Linked DNA regions of Drosophila melanogaster. The protein of the gene in region 1 purifies or fractionates together with the protein of each later gene. This does not show direct contact. Each region holds a gene or a part of one and is shown in the gene's direction. Other genes may lie near its edges.

Evidence for each region.
Region 2: the proteins of Ama (region 1) and RluA-2 purify together in Drosophila melanogaster (affinity purification with mass spectrometry, with the first as the bait; one large-scale study listed by BioGRID). This does not show direct contact.

What each region holds. Positions count from the first base shown.
Region 1 is NT_033777.3:6,759,024-6,766,875, forward strand, and holds Ama (amalgam), read left to right. Parts: upstream 1-3,569; 5' UTR 3,570-3,956; coding exon 3,957-3,973; intron 3,974-4,156; exon of another isoform or gene 4,157-4,493; intron 4,494-4,809; coding exon 4,810-5,818; 3' UTR 5,819-6,238; downstream 6,239-7,852. Other genes in the region: bcd (bicoid), read right to left, coding at 84-248.
Region 2 is NT_033779.5:10,475,310-10,484,508, forward strand, and holds RluA-2 (RluA pseudouridine synthase 2), read left to right. Parts: upstream 1-1,763; 5' UTR 1,764-2,076; coding exon 2,077-2,283; intron 2,284-5,788; coding exon 5,789-5,975; intron 5,976-6,038; coding exon 6,039-6,261; intron 6,262-6,312; coding exon 6,313-6,400; intron 6,401-6,453; coding exon 6,454-6,674; intron 6,675-6,733; coding exon 6,734-6,924; intron 6,925-6,975; coding exon 6,976-7,265; intron 7,266-7,315; coding exon 7,316-7,477; intron 7,478-7,535; coding exon 7,536-7,610; 3' UTR 7,611-7,666; downstream 7,667-9,199. Other genes in the region: Grip75, read left to right, coding at 8,049-8,117, 8,175-8,319, 8,378-8,663, 8,725-8,884, 8,945-9,199.

The sequences.
Region 1 (7,852 bases):
CACTGGTTGTTTGTTCACCATAGGGAATCTGTACTGTAGCTTTCCTGGGACAAGAGCCCTTCTCTGCTGCGATGGGAACTCACCAAATCGAAGGGATTTCGGAATTGTGGCGGCAACTGAAGCTGCGGATGTTGGTGATGTGGGTGCGGATGCGAGTGCGGATGCGGATGGGAGTGCGGATGCGGATGTGTGTGCGTGTGGGGCAGCGGATGATGGTAAAAGTTTTGATCTGGCGGCGGTTGCGCCATTTTCCCCAAACACTCCGCCGCGTTATCTTTACGAATTTCCAAGCGCCGCGCGGAAAAATGGCAAAGGAGTGTGGAAACTTTCTTGTATTTTCAGTAACCGGTTACTTTCGAGACGCTCGCGAACTTATTTCGCCCACATTTTGCGTTTTTGCGATCCACTGCTTCGCATCTGCAGAGTGCCGTTATTTAGGGATGAGCGAAGAGATGTAGAGATGGCACAATTGGCGGCCCTCCCTCGATGTTCATTCTTTTGAGTAATTTAAAAATCAATAAGCGTCTACAATACATTTTAGACAAATATTTGGACATTTTATTTTTAAATGTTTGCCTCTAATTTAAAAGTTTTTAATCGAACAGTACGGCAAAGCTGCAAACCGATTGAGTGCACAGCGTTTTCACCAGGGGGCGTGAAGAGACAGCAGTAGAGAGCCCCCTGTCGGGCTGTATTGAAAGGTTGTGCTCACTGACAAAAGGTGAATGTTCTAAAACGTCGGAGGTTTATTTATTTGTAGAGATTTGCATTTGAGAATAATAATAAAAAAAAGCTTGAATATTGTAACAAATAAGTAGAACCAATTAAACTTAAACTCTTTGCTCTGTTTGGAACTTCATAATATTAACATTTAATTAACAAACAGGCACCCCAAATTTAGGAATCAATTAGACAAGTGTCGAATGTTTAATTTGAATTTTTGTTAATATTATAATATTAATATGCTCCAGTCCAGTCCAGCCTGAATTGAACAAAATGTGCACTTTGTAGTTTATTCTGTTACATACTTCCGCTATTAATAACTACATTATTCAATCTTAGTATCGCGAGATATATAAGGACTTGGGACAAAGAATAAGGATGGTGGAGATCGAGTTTGTTTTTCCAAATGATCTCAAACGGCTACGTACGAAAGAAAATATCATATAATCGTTTTGTAAGACAGCATATAGTGCTTGCTATATGTACCTGTTAGGCAGTGCATTATAAAATGTATTAGAAGAATAAAAGGTAACCAGTTGTCGAGTTAATTAGCTGTAGCGTTCGATTCTTTTGTTAATTTTTTTTAAGTTGTTCTACTCATTTCTGATGTTAAGCTAGGATTGGCAATTATTATTTTCAGGCTCCATATTTGGAAAATTCGATATGTTTAGCGTTGAAGAATATTGTGTAAATATCTACAAGCATTAAGTTGCTCAGTGCATTGGCCCAAGCTTTAACATTTTAAAACACACCCAACGAGCCAGTTGACCTTTAAGCAAGTGTCGCAAGGCCTTAAGTGAAATATTTTTTAATGACATTTGCCAAATAATTGTCGTGTTTGCTTTTGGGATCTGGCAGGAGCTTGTTGCTGTTGGCCGGGCTTTGCTGCTTCTGCCGCTGCCAACTGGCAACAAAAGTCAATTCACAGACACTCCAGTCGACGGAGTCGGAGTGCAGCCAAAAGGCAAACAAAATACGTTCGCATAGGCAAAGCCCAAGGATACACACAAAGGTACAGTGGTTGCTCTGACTACAAATACAAATTAAACAGGGCCAGAGCTTTAATACCAATTCGATACCATTGCAACAACAGCATTTCAAATGCTACTTTTTTATATCAGATAAAGATAGGTAGAAAAGGCTATATTTACGTTAAAGGCAAGCTGATATTTTAGAAATTTATTCAAAAACAAAATTAATTACTTTGACACATAATATTGTATTTAGTCATCTGACTAGAAACTAGAAATCTCTGAATGTAACGAAGTTCTGTGCATTCTTACAAATATTACAAAAAGTATCTGCTAGATACCACTGTGCGGAACTGGGCCACAAATTCAGACGCAGTGTGTGACAAAGGACTTCTCCCTTCCCCGCTCGGCGACCCTGAATGCTGAATGCCCCCGTGTGTGCCGCTGCTGAAGCGAAACACCCAAAGAGTCACTGACAGAAACAGGATTCGGGTAATAAATTACAAAATTTGACATTTTCTGTTTTGGATCCGCTTGCGCCTGAATGCGAGCGGCAGCCCTCTCTGTCGCACGCCGTCTAGCCGTCTCTTTCGTTCGGTTTCGGTGTGTGTCCAGTTCGGTCGGGCCAAGTCGAGCGTTGCATGAAGCAGCCGGACCTGCCAGGACCTGGACCAGGACCTGAACCTGCATCCAAGAGGCATCGCCGCAATGGTCATAATGACGCTGCCGGGATGCAGCTGAGGACAAGGAGAGCCGTCAGTGGGCAGCGAGAAAGGGACGGAATAGAAGCGCCCTATGCGGTCCGTTGATAGTTAACTGGAAATTTATTATTTTACACAATTTACAATTATCTGATTCGAATGTGCACTCAGCGACGAGGATTCCGGCAGATGGGCAGTACGAGTGAGAGTGCGGGGGTCCAAGTTCGGACGACAGATGCAGTTGTCCTCCCATGGGAACGGCCTCATTTCAGCAGAAGTCACCGAAACGATTTAAGATGTGATTTAATTTTCCAGAAACTGTGGCCATAGTTTCGTCGCTCTTCGGGGGAATTTCTTCGCCAGACAGACAGCGTCGTCATCAATCATCTCGCAGAGTAAAGCCGGGTTAACCTCGATGGGTTTTAGGGGGAAACTTGGCCCGGGGCTGATCAGGAATCAGGCTGGAAATATGAAAATTAAATGCGTTTGGGCAGCAGAAAGTTTTCGAATGGTTCGGTGCTTATACAACAAGTGAAATTTTGCACATCAAACGGCCTTTGACCACATTTAATCCTTAAATCATCTGCCATAGGAACTAATTGATCGAGATCCAGACACATATTAAACACATCAATATATATACACAAATATAATCAATATAGACTATGTTATATTTCGACGTTTCCTATCCTCGTATGCTGTGAGTACACATATTAACCTTCAGCCGTGTAAAGAAATTTCTACGAACAGCCAAGTTAAAGGTACCCAAATTTCCCGAATACTGCTCTTTAAATATCCTTCAGAATTTCCCAGCATGGCTGAACCAGGACTCGATTCAAGTTCCACCCAATGCCTTGTACACCACCCCGTTGTTTTTGCCTTTTCGCGCATGCGCCCCTGCTCCGGCGCAAAAGAGACAGCACTAATGAGACGGCGCTGGGATCGCTGGCATTTCCAGAGCGGCTAGGATATTCCAGGGACCGCTCGTAATCGTTGCTGTTGTTGTTAGCCGCCAGCGGAAAGTAGTGCGCCATGCCATAAATCACACAAATGGGTAGAGTTCCAACTTTCCCACCCCGCCGCTGCTCCTTTTATTGTCCTTCCACGAACCCCGAAACGTTTATGGCCAAATGGCGGCACGAATTTGAATTTGAATTTCGCACGCGGTCTCTCAGTTCGCCTGCGGCCGCTTTCGCTGGCGCTTTGTTTTTGCAACTGACCGCTTATCTTGGGGCGGGGGCTGTCAAGTGGGCGGGGCAGGAGGGCCACAGGCAGAGGCATAAACAACAGCAGCGAGCAGCAAAACAAATCAATTAAAGACCAGAAGGAAAGTGCATTGATAACTGAGCCCGAAGTCAAACTCACGCACAAGTAAACAATTTAAATACGAACTAAAATGCAAACACAGATACAAAATACAGATAGAGATACTGAACAAACACAGATACAAATACTGTGAAGGCGACAATGTACATAACCGAGGGGTGATAAGATCCAAAACGTCGATGACTTCTTCATCGGCAAATACACTGAAAAAAGCTGTTACTAATTATTAAAAAATATGCAATATAATAAAAGGTAAACTATTTTTTTTACTAAATTTTAAACTATTTACTAAACACTGCCATTTAAAATCTTTTTTCACATCCTTAACTACAAAAAAATTAATTTTAAATCAAATTGATTTCGTTTACCTGGCTATTCATTAAAAAAAAAAATAAGTATTGATATATCGGAAAACTAAGTTATCTCCGTTTTTACCAGTGTATCCATTAAGAAGCAACGTTGTCTAGACACAGCCGCGGTAATCAATCATAATGGTGTCTATCTGCTTCATTCTCGCGGTGTACAAATTTCGGGACTTTCCTTGAGAAACCGAGCCATCGACGTCGGCGCGTCAGGAAGAATACAAAAATAAGAACCCGATTCTCAGAACCTCAGCAGAGATACGGATTTTTGAGCCGAGCTCGGTCGCCTCTTTCAATTCAGTCGAGTCCCGAACGCGAAGTGAAGCGCATTGAACCCACATTGAACTGAGAGATAGTCGAGGAAAAAGAGTCACAAAATCAACAGCAACATCCTGTAAATAAACAGAAATGTATGAATTATATTAAAATAAGACGATAAAGCTGAAAAGTGTGTACAAGCCTTATAAATGTTTCAAAACGAGTGTGTGTGCAGAATTCTTTCCTTCTTATTTACTTTTGAAAGATACTTTTAAAGATATACTTGTGACCTTTAAATTATTATTCTATAATTGAACCTAGTTTTAGTTTATTATATTGAATTCGAAGATGGGTTAAAAATGGCAGTTCTCCATTACATACGAAATATTTAGAATGGCTAACGCGATCAAAAGACTCAACATAAAGTGATACACTAATAAATCTCAAATCTATTTTGATTTCTTACAGACCAGACATGGCGCGTCTGCGGCTTCTAATCGGTCTTATATTCTGCCTTGCGATCAGCTTGGATTCGGTGCTTAGTGCCCCAGTGATCAGCCAGATCAGCAAGGACGTGGTGGCCAGTGTGGGCGACTCTGTGGAGTTCAACTGCACCGTGGAGGAGGTGGGACAGCTCTCGGTGAGCTGGGCCAAGCGTCCCAGCGAGTCGGACACCAACTCGGTGGTGCTCTCCATGCGGAATATCCTCAGTCTGCCCGACCAGCGGTACAACGTAACGGTCACCGAAGGACCCAAGACCGGAAGTGCCATTTACACCTTCCGCATTCAGAACATCGAAGTCAGTGACATGGGTCCGTACGAGTGTCAGGTGCTTGTTTCGGCCACGGAGAAGGTGACCAAGAAGCTGAGCCTGCAGATCAAGACCCCGCCGGTGATTGCGGAGAACACCCCCAAGAGCACCCTGGTGACAGAGGGACAGAATCTGGAGCTGACCTGCCATGCCAATGGCTTTCCCAAGCCTACGATCTCCTGGGCCCGCGAGCATAATGCAGTGATGCCTGCCGGTGGCCATTTGCTGGCCGAACCAACTCTCCGGATTCGTTCCGTGCACCGGATGGATCGCGGCGGCTACTACTGCATCGCGCAGAACGGAGAGGGCCAGCCGGACAAGAGGTTGATCCGGGTCGAAGTGGAGTTCCGTCCGCAGATTGCCGTCCAGAGGCCCAAGATCGCCCAAATGGTGTCCCATTCCGCGGAGCTGGAGTGCTCCGTGCAGGGCTACCCGGCTCCGACTGTAGTTTGGCACAAGAATGGCGTGCCCCTGCAGTCTAGCCGGCACCACGAGGTGGCCAACACCGCCTCCTCCTCGGGAACCACAACCTCTGTGCTGCGCATCGATAGCGTGGGCGAGGAGGACTTTGGGGACTACTACTGCAATGCCACCAATAAGCTGGGACACGCCGATGCGCGACTGCATCTCTTCCAGACCGTCATCCCAGTGCCCTCCTTGTCGTAATAAGCCCTCAACGTCTGATTTCCATTCCCACGCAACAAGACTGGAACCCTCACTTTCTCCTCTCGTCTCGCTTTTTCGGCAATTCGCCAGTCCGGATGCGGTCTGTGTTTATATTATTAATGATTCATTCAATTAGCTCCCATTCAGACTTCATTATTTTCGGACACACTTGAGATCGAGCCACCGCTTGTGCCTTATGAATTTTGCTCTGCATCCGTCGGCTTGTGCAAACACACATTAATATGCTTAAGTAAATAACGTTCTCTGATAAAGTTTAATCGGTCTTTTCCTATGTGGTTGGGTTGGCTTGTATACGGTGTAAGTTAAATACCATGAGAGAATAAACACCTCTTGAAGCAACGAATTAAAGGGTTTGTCATTCAATAAAACTAAGCCAGGAGACAAGGCATTGTCAAAAGTATTTCATTGTTTTATCGAGAGGGAATCTAAAAATATATGGTAAGTGCAGATATAAATGAAAAATTAATCACTTCTAAACAACACCCAATGCTCCATGGATCTTATTAATTTATAACAATAAACAATTCAAACTTTACACTTTAAAAGCCACAGTTTCGTTAGAATGATGGCTAGAACATCCAAATCTTTTAAAAATCCATTAACTTTTTTGGATGCCACTTTCCAAACCCTAAATAACAGATCTTTCAAGATCTTCTTCCTTAAAGCTGCCATCTGAGTCCGCAAGGTCCCACCTTGACACCAAAAACAGCATGTAACCTCCATTCTGAGCTGGTATTCCAACGGTTAACGCTGCCGAAGTCATTTGCCAAAAAGTTAACCGAGCCCGCTCAAAGTGCCACAGCGTTTAACTCTTCAATCATGGTTAAAAAATGGCAGTCAGTTGTTCACCTCTTGACGTAAACACTCACATGGTCAAAATGCGGAGTGGGTTGTGTGGCGAAAAGTGAACCCGAATGTAAGTTGTTCATTGTAATTGAGAAAAATGCGAGGCATTTGTAAGGCGGTCCAACGAGCTGGGTCTGCCACTGGTACATGAACTATTCGGGAGCTTGTGCGGGGATCCAGTCCAGAGTGCCCAAAGGACTCCATTATGGCCGGAGCACATTAGTTTAACTAAATCCCCAACCCGGCTCATCGCTCACTAAAATCAACACTTGCTAATGACTTAATTGTTTCCATTAGAAACCCGTTGCTGGAATACATTTGGCAAATTTTTCATCCTCGCTCCTGGCTCCTTTTTTCACATGTCCTGCTGGCTTCCCTTCCTGCGGACACCCCTCGAAATGAATCCTGGCTAAATGTCTGTCTTTATTGTAATTGGTATTGTTGCTGCTACTCGCACGCATTCGAGCCTGAAGTCCAGGGACAACACGTGCGTCCTCGTCTGAAACTCCCAGCCCCGCATCCGACCTCCCATTCCGTCGTCCTTTGGCCAGGACATCATTTCATTGTCTGCCGGGGCCGGAGGTTGAGGCCTCTGCGGCAGGAGCAGAGCAACATGGACGTCGACGTGACTTTTATTGATTTTCGGACCAAAACCTCCCCTGAGAGAGAGTCGGCAAAAGTCGATTGGAACGCCAGACGTGAGACTCTGGCCAGTTTAGGGGTGGAAATCGGGTTTTTCCTTGCCGCCACCCTGCCGCAGAAAATGGCAACAGTAAGGCCTGGCTAAGGAGCCCGACAAAGGCTTCAAAGAGAGCCCACTTCAGTTCCACCTCCACCAGAGAATTCCAGCCTGATGGAGGCGGATGTGAAGCCAGAGTTAACGCCTGCGCAGTTCCGTCAAATGGTTACCTTAGGACCAGTGATGACATCCTAGAAGCTTTTCGGCATCCTCTGACCTTAAAATACTATAAAGATATTGATAAAATATAATGTTATAAGCGAAATAAAATATATTATAATATATATATATATATATATATACATATATATATATTCTAATATAATTATAATATTATTATAATATATATAATAATTATTATTATAATTATAATAATATAATAATAAATAATTAGAAAACCTTGTTAGAAAGAAACCATTTATTAAAAA
Region 2 (9,199 bases), on another chromosome or scaffold:
GACACAATTCCCCTAAACAAATGGTAAGTGTCCTCTGGCACACCCACAATTACTCGTATAAAATCCACTTTTTCGGAATGCTCGAAGCAATTTCATATTCAAAATCATACTTCTGGTGTTGCAGCCACAACCTTCTAATATCAGTTACGACTTGCACCAAATAATCATTCGAAAGAATTCCTCAAAAATTACATACCAACATGAATGTACATATATTCTGAAAACAATGCGTTTGCCTTTTCCGATTGACACAGTGAAAATGAACAAAAGAATGTTGAGGCTGATGATGAGCGAAACAAAAGTATAAAAGATCTGATTCACCAAAAGTGAAATTCGTAACGTAGATCTTGTGGAAGTGAAGAAATTCTTATTATAATCTAAAAAAACATAATTTTTGTTTCAGTATCTAAGCAACTTTATCCTTGTAAGTTTGGTTCCATGTTTTTGAGCGCCAAAAAGTAGGCAACAAATTAAGCTAAATCAAGCGAGCTCGTGTTGATCCTTAGATAAGCAAGGACTATTGAAACAACTCAAAGATAGTTGGATTAGTTTTAATAATTTTTTCCAATTAGCAACTAACCAAAATACAGAAGGCATTATGTTTGATCAAATTTGGGCTAAGGCTCCGCGAATTGCGTGTTTGACTGCGTGACTTTTGTTTTCCGAAACTCACCCACTTTCGCACGGGCCATTCCATTCAGATCCCGACGCCATGGTCTACGGGTATATGGAGTGGAGTGGAGTGGAGGTCTCCTTGAAACGCGGTTGGTCACGAAAGCGAACAACAAAGAAAAGGCTTGCCCGTCATTTGAGGCAACATTTAATGGCCACTGGCTATGGGGCTATATGGCTATATGGCTAAAAAGCTATAGGGCTCATCCTGAATAAACAGGGGTTGGTGTGTGTGGGTGTGTGCGACTAGGTGTGTGTGTGTGTGTGTTGGTGTGCGAGAAGTTGACGTTCGTTTGTGAAAACGAAGAAAGTGATTAAATCAGCACGATATTTTGTAGGTGTGCGCTAGCTCACCCATTAAATTTCTCCCATCCGCATTCGTGTATGTGTGTGTGTGAGCCCGCACACACACCTACACATTTGAGCTACTGTTCTAAATTGACTTTTCGCCTGGACAAAACTAAAAATGACGACATCGCGTTTTTTTTCGCTTTCATAGAAAAGCTTTGCCTCTAAACATGCCCATCATGCGCGTGTTTATAAACAACACAGATCTCTTACCAACCTGTATATAACATTTATATGTATATATATATAGAAAGGTGTGCTGGGCCTCCGATTACACTCCCACATGCATGTTCGCACACATGTATGCAGTTACCAAATATGGGAACACACGTTAATGTAATTAAGCCTTAAGGCTGGATAAATGCCAACTCGAGTCGTATATTATTTGCGATATTGCAGGCAGTTATAAATTAACTTCTTTATGACTGCTGCTAATTTGGATTTTCAATTCGAGTGCTTGTTATTTTGGGTGTTATTTTAAAAGAACTTAAACAGCTTGAAGATAAGGTTTCAAAAACGTTAAGCCATTATCATTATCCCAGGACTGCCTCATTTTTGGTGGAAGCGATTTCTTACATTTTGTTACAATTTAAATCTGTATTGGTTTTTCACGCAATATCTTTAGTTTAACGAATATCATATATCCTATCTTGAACTTCAGCATTTCGAAAACGGTTTCGAGTGGCTTTGAAAAACCAGTAAGTTCCGTGCAAATACCCCTAATGAAGTTCAATCGGCGCGAATCAGTGGTTCGCGCGCTTATCGATAGGCAATGTTTTGGTTTTGCTTGCTTTCGGCATAAAAACGTAATTTTCATGCGGTTTTTGCGGCAATTTAGGGACGTTTTTCGTTTGGCAAGTGGTGTTTGTGTTATGAATTAAAGTAACATTTAACTCATTCAATTGAATCATCGCATAAAGCAGAGTGTTTTTGTGTTTGAAACTGAAATCTGCGCACGTGTTGACTAACTTGTTGTTATTATTATAGCGTTGCTTAGATATTCTAGTAAATTGGCCGCAAATCAAAAACTATAAACAATTCTCGTGGCTGTTGAAAATGGAGAGTTCCAAACTCTTGAGAAATGCACAAACCCAGCATGGAGATGCCTCATCCGTGGACGTGGAAAACATATTCCTGCACCGCCATATGCTATACACAAATCCCACTTCGGATGGCAATCTCCATGATCGGGAAGATTCCCCCGAATGCGTGTGGTGTCCAGACGACAAGGATGGTAGTCCAGCTGAAAGCAAAGATCCACCGGTGAGTAGTGATAAGATAAGACATTCTATTAAGTACATAGATCCGGTTACTATTATATATCAAGATATCATACAATATATAATTACATATGATCCGCATTGTTTGCTGAGTATACCTTGTGTATTTATAAAAAAGAAAACTAAATTTTTAAAATTATATACTGTATAGTTATAATTTTTTAACATTACAGAAATGTTAGAAATATATTGTATATTCAGGAATATATTTATGTGTAAAATCCAGCTGAACTTGATTAAATGCCGTTTTGTTCATGCACTTGAATGCATATTTGTTTACCCTGGCGTGTCGCCCTCCATTATTAATTCCCATTTATTTACCCGCTTTATAGCGAGGAATCCGCGGCTGGCGACCACTTCTCCAACTTTGACCGATTCGCAGCTAGTAAAAGAGCATATTTATCTTGGGGGAATCGAATGCCCAAAACAATTTAGTCCGGTCTGCTCGCAAATTGTGTGGATTCGGATTCCTGTCCTCACTTATGCAGTATTATTGGTGTCGAGGGAAATTTCAATGCAGCAGCTCCAATCGCACACTTAAAACTTAATTAAAAAGCTAATCAGGGAGTAGCAAATGCAATTTGCTGCATTAATTTAAACAATTAATTAGGTACAATTTCAATTGTTGTAATGCTCTTCATATCTAAGCTCATTCATACTGTAGTAGTTTAATTCTAAATTGACGTAATAAACTAGAGGCAAATTAGGTTTTTGATTGAAGCTTAAAGTGTTGTTTTGTATTTATTCTTCAGAAAAAGTTTCGAAGTAAGTTGCAAACTAATTAATAACAATAATGAAAGAAAGCTCAAACAGCATTGCGTGACACCCACACATGTGAGTGAAAGAAATGGGTTTATTTCAGTTTTATTCTATTACCTTAAAGTTTCGAGAGTCATAAAATTGTATATAAACATGCGGTGGAGCCAGGAGGAGTAGCTGCACCCTGGTACCTGGAGATTTAAGCCATTTTTACGAGACTTTGAGTCACAAATGCCCCAATAAACGAGACTGCAGTCAGTGCCTGCAGTGGAAGAGTCAACGTTCTGGCCGCCATAGAAATTTAAAGCCACCCCTAGGCGTCAGTAGATTCTTAAAAATTTAGGGCTTTGCTAAGATGTGCAACAAAAACCAGATTTTAGACAAAACCCTTAATGGCCCACAAAAACCGGTACAGGCATGCTAGTTTCGTGGCTTTTTGTTTGCTGGTTCCTCCACCTCAACGTACGTGACAGTGTCAAATGGCCTTAAATATTTAGCCAGAGTGTACACTTAAAGCGCCAGACCCATTCCTAATTCTCTCTCGCTAATTAAACTAATCAATAAACTAAAAACCGGAGTGTATACAAACGCATATACATTATATACATGTATATATATGTATATAGGGAAATAGCTCGAGGTTGTCGTCTGCAAGGAGTTAAGTTATGTGTGGGGACCAACTGGACGCACGAATGGACGGACACGTTTCACTTGCCTTCGTAGATATTTTACCACGGATTTGTCATAATTAGTTCTTTTTTGGGTGGGGTTTCAGTGGGTTTCTAGTGTCCCGGCATCTCGCGCGGTGGCTGCCTAACGAGCTACTTTTGTCAAGTTGGTCTGTTGGTCGTGATGTTTCCGCAATTATTAGTGTCAGTGCCTCGTGCTTACGGGCGGGTGGGTATCCTAAGTGCGGTCCTCATTGTTTCCGCGATGCGCCTTTTGGGCCAGTCGTTTTTATAATTCTTACAATACCATGTAAACACGCATTACGAAAACCGCCGCGGATGGCGGTTACTGGTTTGCAGGAAGAGGAAAATCCCTCTAAGACTTGGTCGCCTGCACTCCTTTTCCATTTTCCATTCCACTGACACTGGCTTGCGCCATCAAACTGAGGAATTAAAAGGGAAGATAGGCTGCCTGTGGACTAAGTGGCTTTGCGGATCAGGCACACTTTGCGCAATTAACTAAATAAATAAATGTATAGAAAAGTGGTTGTTAAGAAAACATAAGCCTTGTCATTCGAACATATCAAATATTCCCAAATCTTGCCACTTTAAAAACTCTTGTTGGGCTTTTTGCACAGACACAATACCTATTTTTTTTAATAAGGTTTGATTGCATCCCCTCTGTTAATTATAATTAACAGGTAATATTAATGATTTTAACTTTCTTTTTGTGGCATAATAATGGTGGCATATTGACTTGGAACAATCAAAAGCATTATTTATGTTGACTTTAATAGCCAAGGACAAACAAAAAATTATGAAATAAATAAAAATAACAATTGCATTAATATGTAAAATCTGTGTAGTATATATATTAATTAAGACCATAAAGGGAACAAAACCCATAGAGATGGCACTTTCGAATGTGTTGAGATATCTGCGAGGCGCCAAATTGAATTGATCTGGCAACGCTAAGTTGAATTTGTTATCAATGTAGGTTAATGTGAAGAAAAAGAAAAATCGTGGGTTTGTTTACAAAAAAGCGCGATAAAAATAGAATGCGAATTGGCGGCAAGTGAGGGGAGCCGCCGATGATATCCAATTTGTATGATAATTATGCGCACAGGTGTGGACGGATTGGAAATGTGCCATCAAGAGCATGTGGAAACAGAAACATGAGCCAATGAAGGCGACGGAAGAAGAGCATGTCATTATCCTCCAGTTGGATAAGTTCCAAGATGCTGATCCGGATGAAATCAGGGTGTATCAAGAAGCAGTACCCAAGGGAGTTAGCTCCTCTAGTCTTAAAAACACCGCCTAACAATATAAAAACCTTATCGAAACCCATTGTTAGCTGATAACAGCTTTAGAATAATCTCTGCAGGATCAGAGGTCACTGCAATTCTTAAGGTAATTGCAATTCTTAAGGTAATTGCTGTAGAGCTTCGTGAAACTACGAGGACCGACGCAGAATCAATGATGTCTATGGCACTTGAGATGTGGAGAAGGGAGGGCAGCACAAAAATGATAAAAAATGTTTGTATTTTATAGTTTTAAACTTTGCATAACCCTTAAACAACTCAAGAGACCTGTTTTATTATGGACTTTTGTCTATGTTTGCTTCCTGGCTAGAACATATTGGCTGGTAGACCAGTAACCAACAAAATACTACTGGTTCGCAGCCAATTTTGTAGTTTTTGTTTTCCTTTTAGTGTGCAACAAGGAAAAAACAAACAGTCTGTCTGAAAATTATGCTTGGGCTGCAGAATGAAAACGAGGAATTGTTTGCACACAAACACCGGAAACAAGGCTCCAATGTGTTAAGAGCTGATAAGCTGATAAGGATACATATATGATGACTTTGGCACGGTAGGCTTTCGTATTTTCTGTATCTTCAAGAGTGAAGTTCCTCAAATCTAAACGAATTTTCTAAATAGTAAGCAATTGTTCAGTTTAAAGCAAGAACTAAAGGTGTTTTTGCTCAAAAATAAAAAGAAGACATTCAATGAAGCTGAAAATATTTTAAAAAACTATTACCACCCGTCGTGGTTTATCTTACAGATATCCATATCAGAGGAAAAGTCTGAAACGCAATCAAAAGAAGTTTTGTCGGAAAAGCGAAAAGCTAGCAGCACAGATGACGAAGGGCATGTGAAAAAAGTAAAATTAGAGGCCAATAGTCTAAAAACGAAGCGTCCTGGATTCAGCGATGAAAGATACGACGAAACATCGTATTATTTTGAGAATGGTATGGCCAACATATTAATAAACCAACTTAGAAGATATTCTGTTATAAAATTGCAATCTATAGGTCTGCGGAAGGTGTATCCTTATTTTTTCACATTCACCACGTTCGCCAAAGGACGTTGGGTTGATGAGAAAATTCTGGATGTATTTGTCCGCGAATTTCGAGCCGCACCGCCGGAGGAATATGAACGCAGCCTGGAAGCGGGAAAATTGACTGTTAACTCTGAGAAAGTGCCCAAGGACTATAAAATCAAGCACAATGATCTGCTGGCCAATGTGGTGCATAGGTAAGCATCAGCAGGAAATCTCATTTGAATATGCACACATTTGCATTCTAGACACGAAGTCCCTGTTACTTCACAGCCCATCAAGATTGTGTACATGGACAAGGATATTGTGGTTGTGAATAAGCCGGCATCGATACCGGTAGGTATACTAATTTGGAAGGAATTTGATTTAATAACAATCGTATGTTGTAGGTACATCCTTGTGGAAGATATAGACACAACACGGTAGTTTTCATCCTGGCCAAGGAGCACAATCTGAAGAACCTGCGAACCATTCACAGATTGGATCGTCTCACATCTGGCCTACTTTTGTTTGGACGGACTGCTGAAAAAGCCCGCGAATTGGAGCTGCAAATCCGAACTCGCCAAGTGCAAAAGGAATACGTTTGCCGCGTTGAAGGACGCTTTCCAGAGTAAGTCCAAAATGCATCTAATCTTTTATATATCTGCTTATTTTTCATATCTTTCGTAGTGGCATAGTTGAATGCAATGAGAAAATCGACGTCGTGAGCTACAAAATAGGTGTTTGTAAGGTTTCACCGAAGGGCAAGGACTGTAAGACCACATTTAAAAGAATCGGCGAGGTGGGCAGTGATAGTATTGTTTTGTGCAAACCACTAACAGGACGAATGCACCAAATACGAGTGCATTTACAATTCTTGGGTAAGTGACAACCAGATAATTCCATTCAATTATAACACTCGTATTTCACAGGCTATCCCATTTCAAATGATCCTTTGTACAACCATGAAGTTTTCGGTCCATTGAAAGGAAGAGGAGGAGATATCGGTGGAATAACCGAGGAACAGTTGATCAGTAACCTAATTAGCATTCATAATGCAGAAAACTGGTTGGGCTTGGAAGGAGATCAAATCGTATCAGGGGAAATAAAAGACGTAGCAGCAAGTACTTCAGTAGTAGAGGCTCCCTCAGTAGTTCAGGCTCCTATTAATAGTGAAACTGAAAAGCCTGTGATTTCAAAAAACCTTGAACCAAGTAACGATGTAAGTAACTTAAAATAGTTGTACAAGTCTGGAGAACACAATGCTTATAGGCTACTGCACAGATTGCCACCCAAACGTGCTATGAGGAACCAGACAGGTCCTTTGATTCCAAGAAGACAACTTCGGATCCGCAATGTTCTGAATGCAAGATAAACTACAGAGACCCCGGCACAAAGGATCTCATAATGTACTTGCATGCATGGAAATACAAGGTCAGTTTCAAACTATACATTTTTAAAGATTTAATTTCAAATTAAATCTTATTTTCAGGGCGTTGGTTGGGAGTACGAAACCGAATTGCCGGAATGGGCGTGTAATTCGAATATTGATTACGATAAAGTATAAAGGAAAAATTGATTGCAAACACGACGCTTTAGTAAAAAGAAATATTTTTACAGAGTTTAACAAATTGTGTTTCCATTTTATCTTCATTTGTAGCATTGTTTTATTACTTTGCCGAATTACTTTATCATTTTGCGGTGCAAGGGGATGTCCTCGTGGAGTATTATTTATCGTCGTGCAGTGGATGTCCTAGGATGCCAACTATCCTGGATAATACTTTGCAAGAACTTCACCTGAACACTCTGCTCACAGTGGTTTCAGTTAACTGCAGTTCTGCGAATTTTTAAAATTTAAAACCACAATCAGTTGGCGGGAAGGGAATGCCCCTAATTCTATCGATTAGTTGGTTCTTATCGATAACGGACGGGGCAGGATATGTGTCATCTCTGTCGGACATCTGGCGCAAATGAAATACAAATACCGAATTAAAGCAGCAAAACAATGATACACGATTTGTTATTGGCTTGCCGGAGCCACAATCCGGAGCAGCTGGGTATAAAGGCATTCAATGTAAGTAAAATCGTTGGAAATAAATAATTTCGAAAGCCTTACAAGCGAACTTTCTAGGAAACCACAGTCATTGACCAGTTCATACATCCTTGCGAGCGGGAGATATTTATGGACATTATAAAAATCATTAAGGTTTACCAAGAAGTTGAGCAGTTTACCCATTCATCGGGAAGAAAGTCCGACACACATGGCGAACTTCCAGGTATAAATGGAAGGTTGCATAGTGTTTTTAAGATTTCAAATGTGTATTTCTATCGCAGATAGTTTGCATGGTTACTACTTGCTCAATTTGGCCAAGGGCATTGAAATGGCTCTGGAGGAGTACTACGCTGAGATCGGACGTCTGGAGAAGTATTGTTTGGGTAACGAGCGCAATTCGCTCTCATATGTCTACAATGCCCTGTACGCCAAGTTCCCCCTTCTGGTCTTCATGCGTAATCTCATCACAGAGATCCATGTGCTGAATCTGCGAGGATGCGTCTTGCTCCACAATCTACATCAGCAGTGCGAGCACGGCGATATTCAACTGGAAAAAGCAATCAAGATGCAAGTGATAGCCAACACACAACGCCTTGTTTCCATAATCCAAATGCTCTTCATTATGCAGAATTATGAAGCCTGTTAAGAACGCATTTTTCTCCAGCCTGGCTCACTGGCTGTTGTTTGGAGTGATTGACGATGTCCACTCGGAATTCTTTATTAAGTTTACCCCAACGGATGCAGTTGATGGTAGCTCATTCAGCAAATCAGCCACTTGCTCACTTCTGGTAACAACTTAACAAGCGATTATCCTTACCCTATATTATAAATAGCATATCTATATCCAGAGCGCAGAGAAAAACCCCGAGGATTACATATGGCAATATGAGGTGAATATGTCTCAGCTGCCAGGATTTTTCTCCATCGTTTTAGCCGAAAAAGTTCTGTTCGTGGGACAAACAGTGCTGGTCTTCAAAATGGGGCGCAACGTAAAAGTTAAAAACAAAACCGACCCACTGGCGGCAAAACTGGCTGAATTGGATTCAGATGATATCTATCAGCTGTGGAGCGGCAGGGAGTCCGAGTTCTTCAAAATGGTCGTT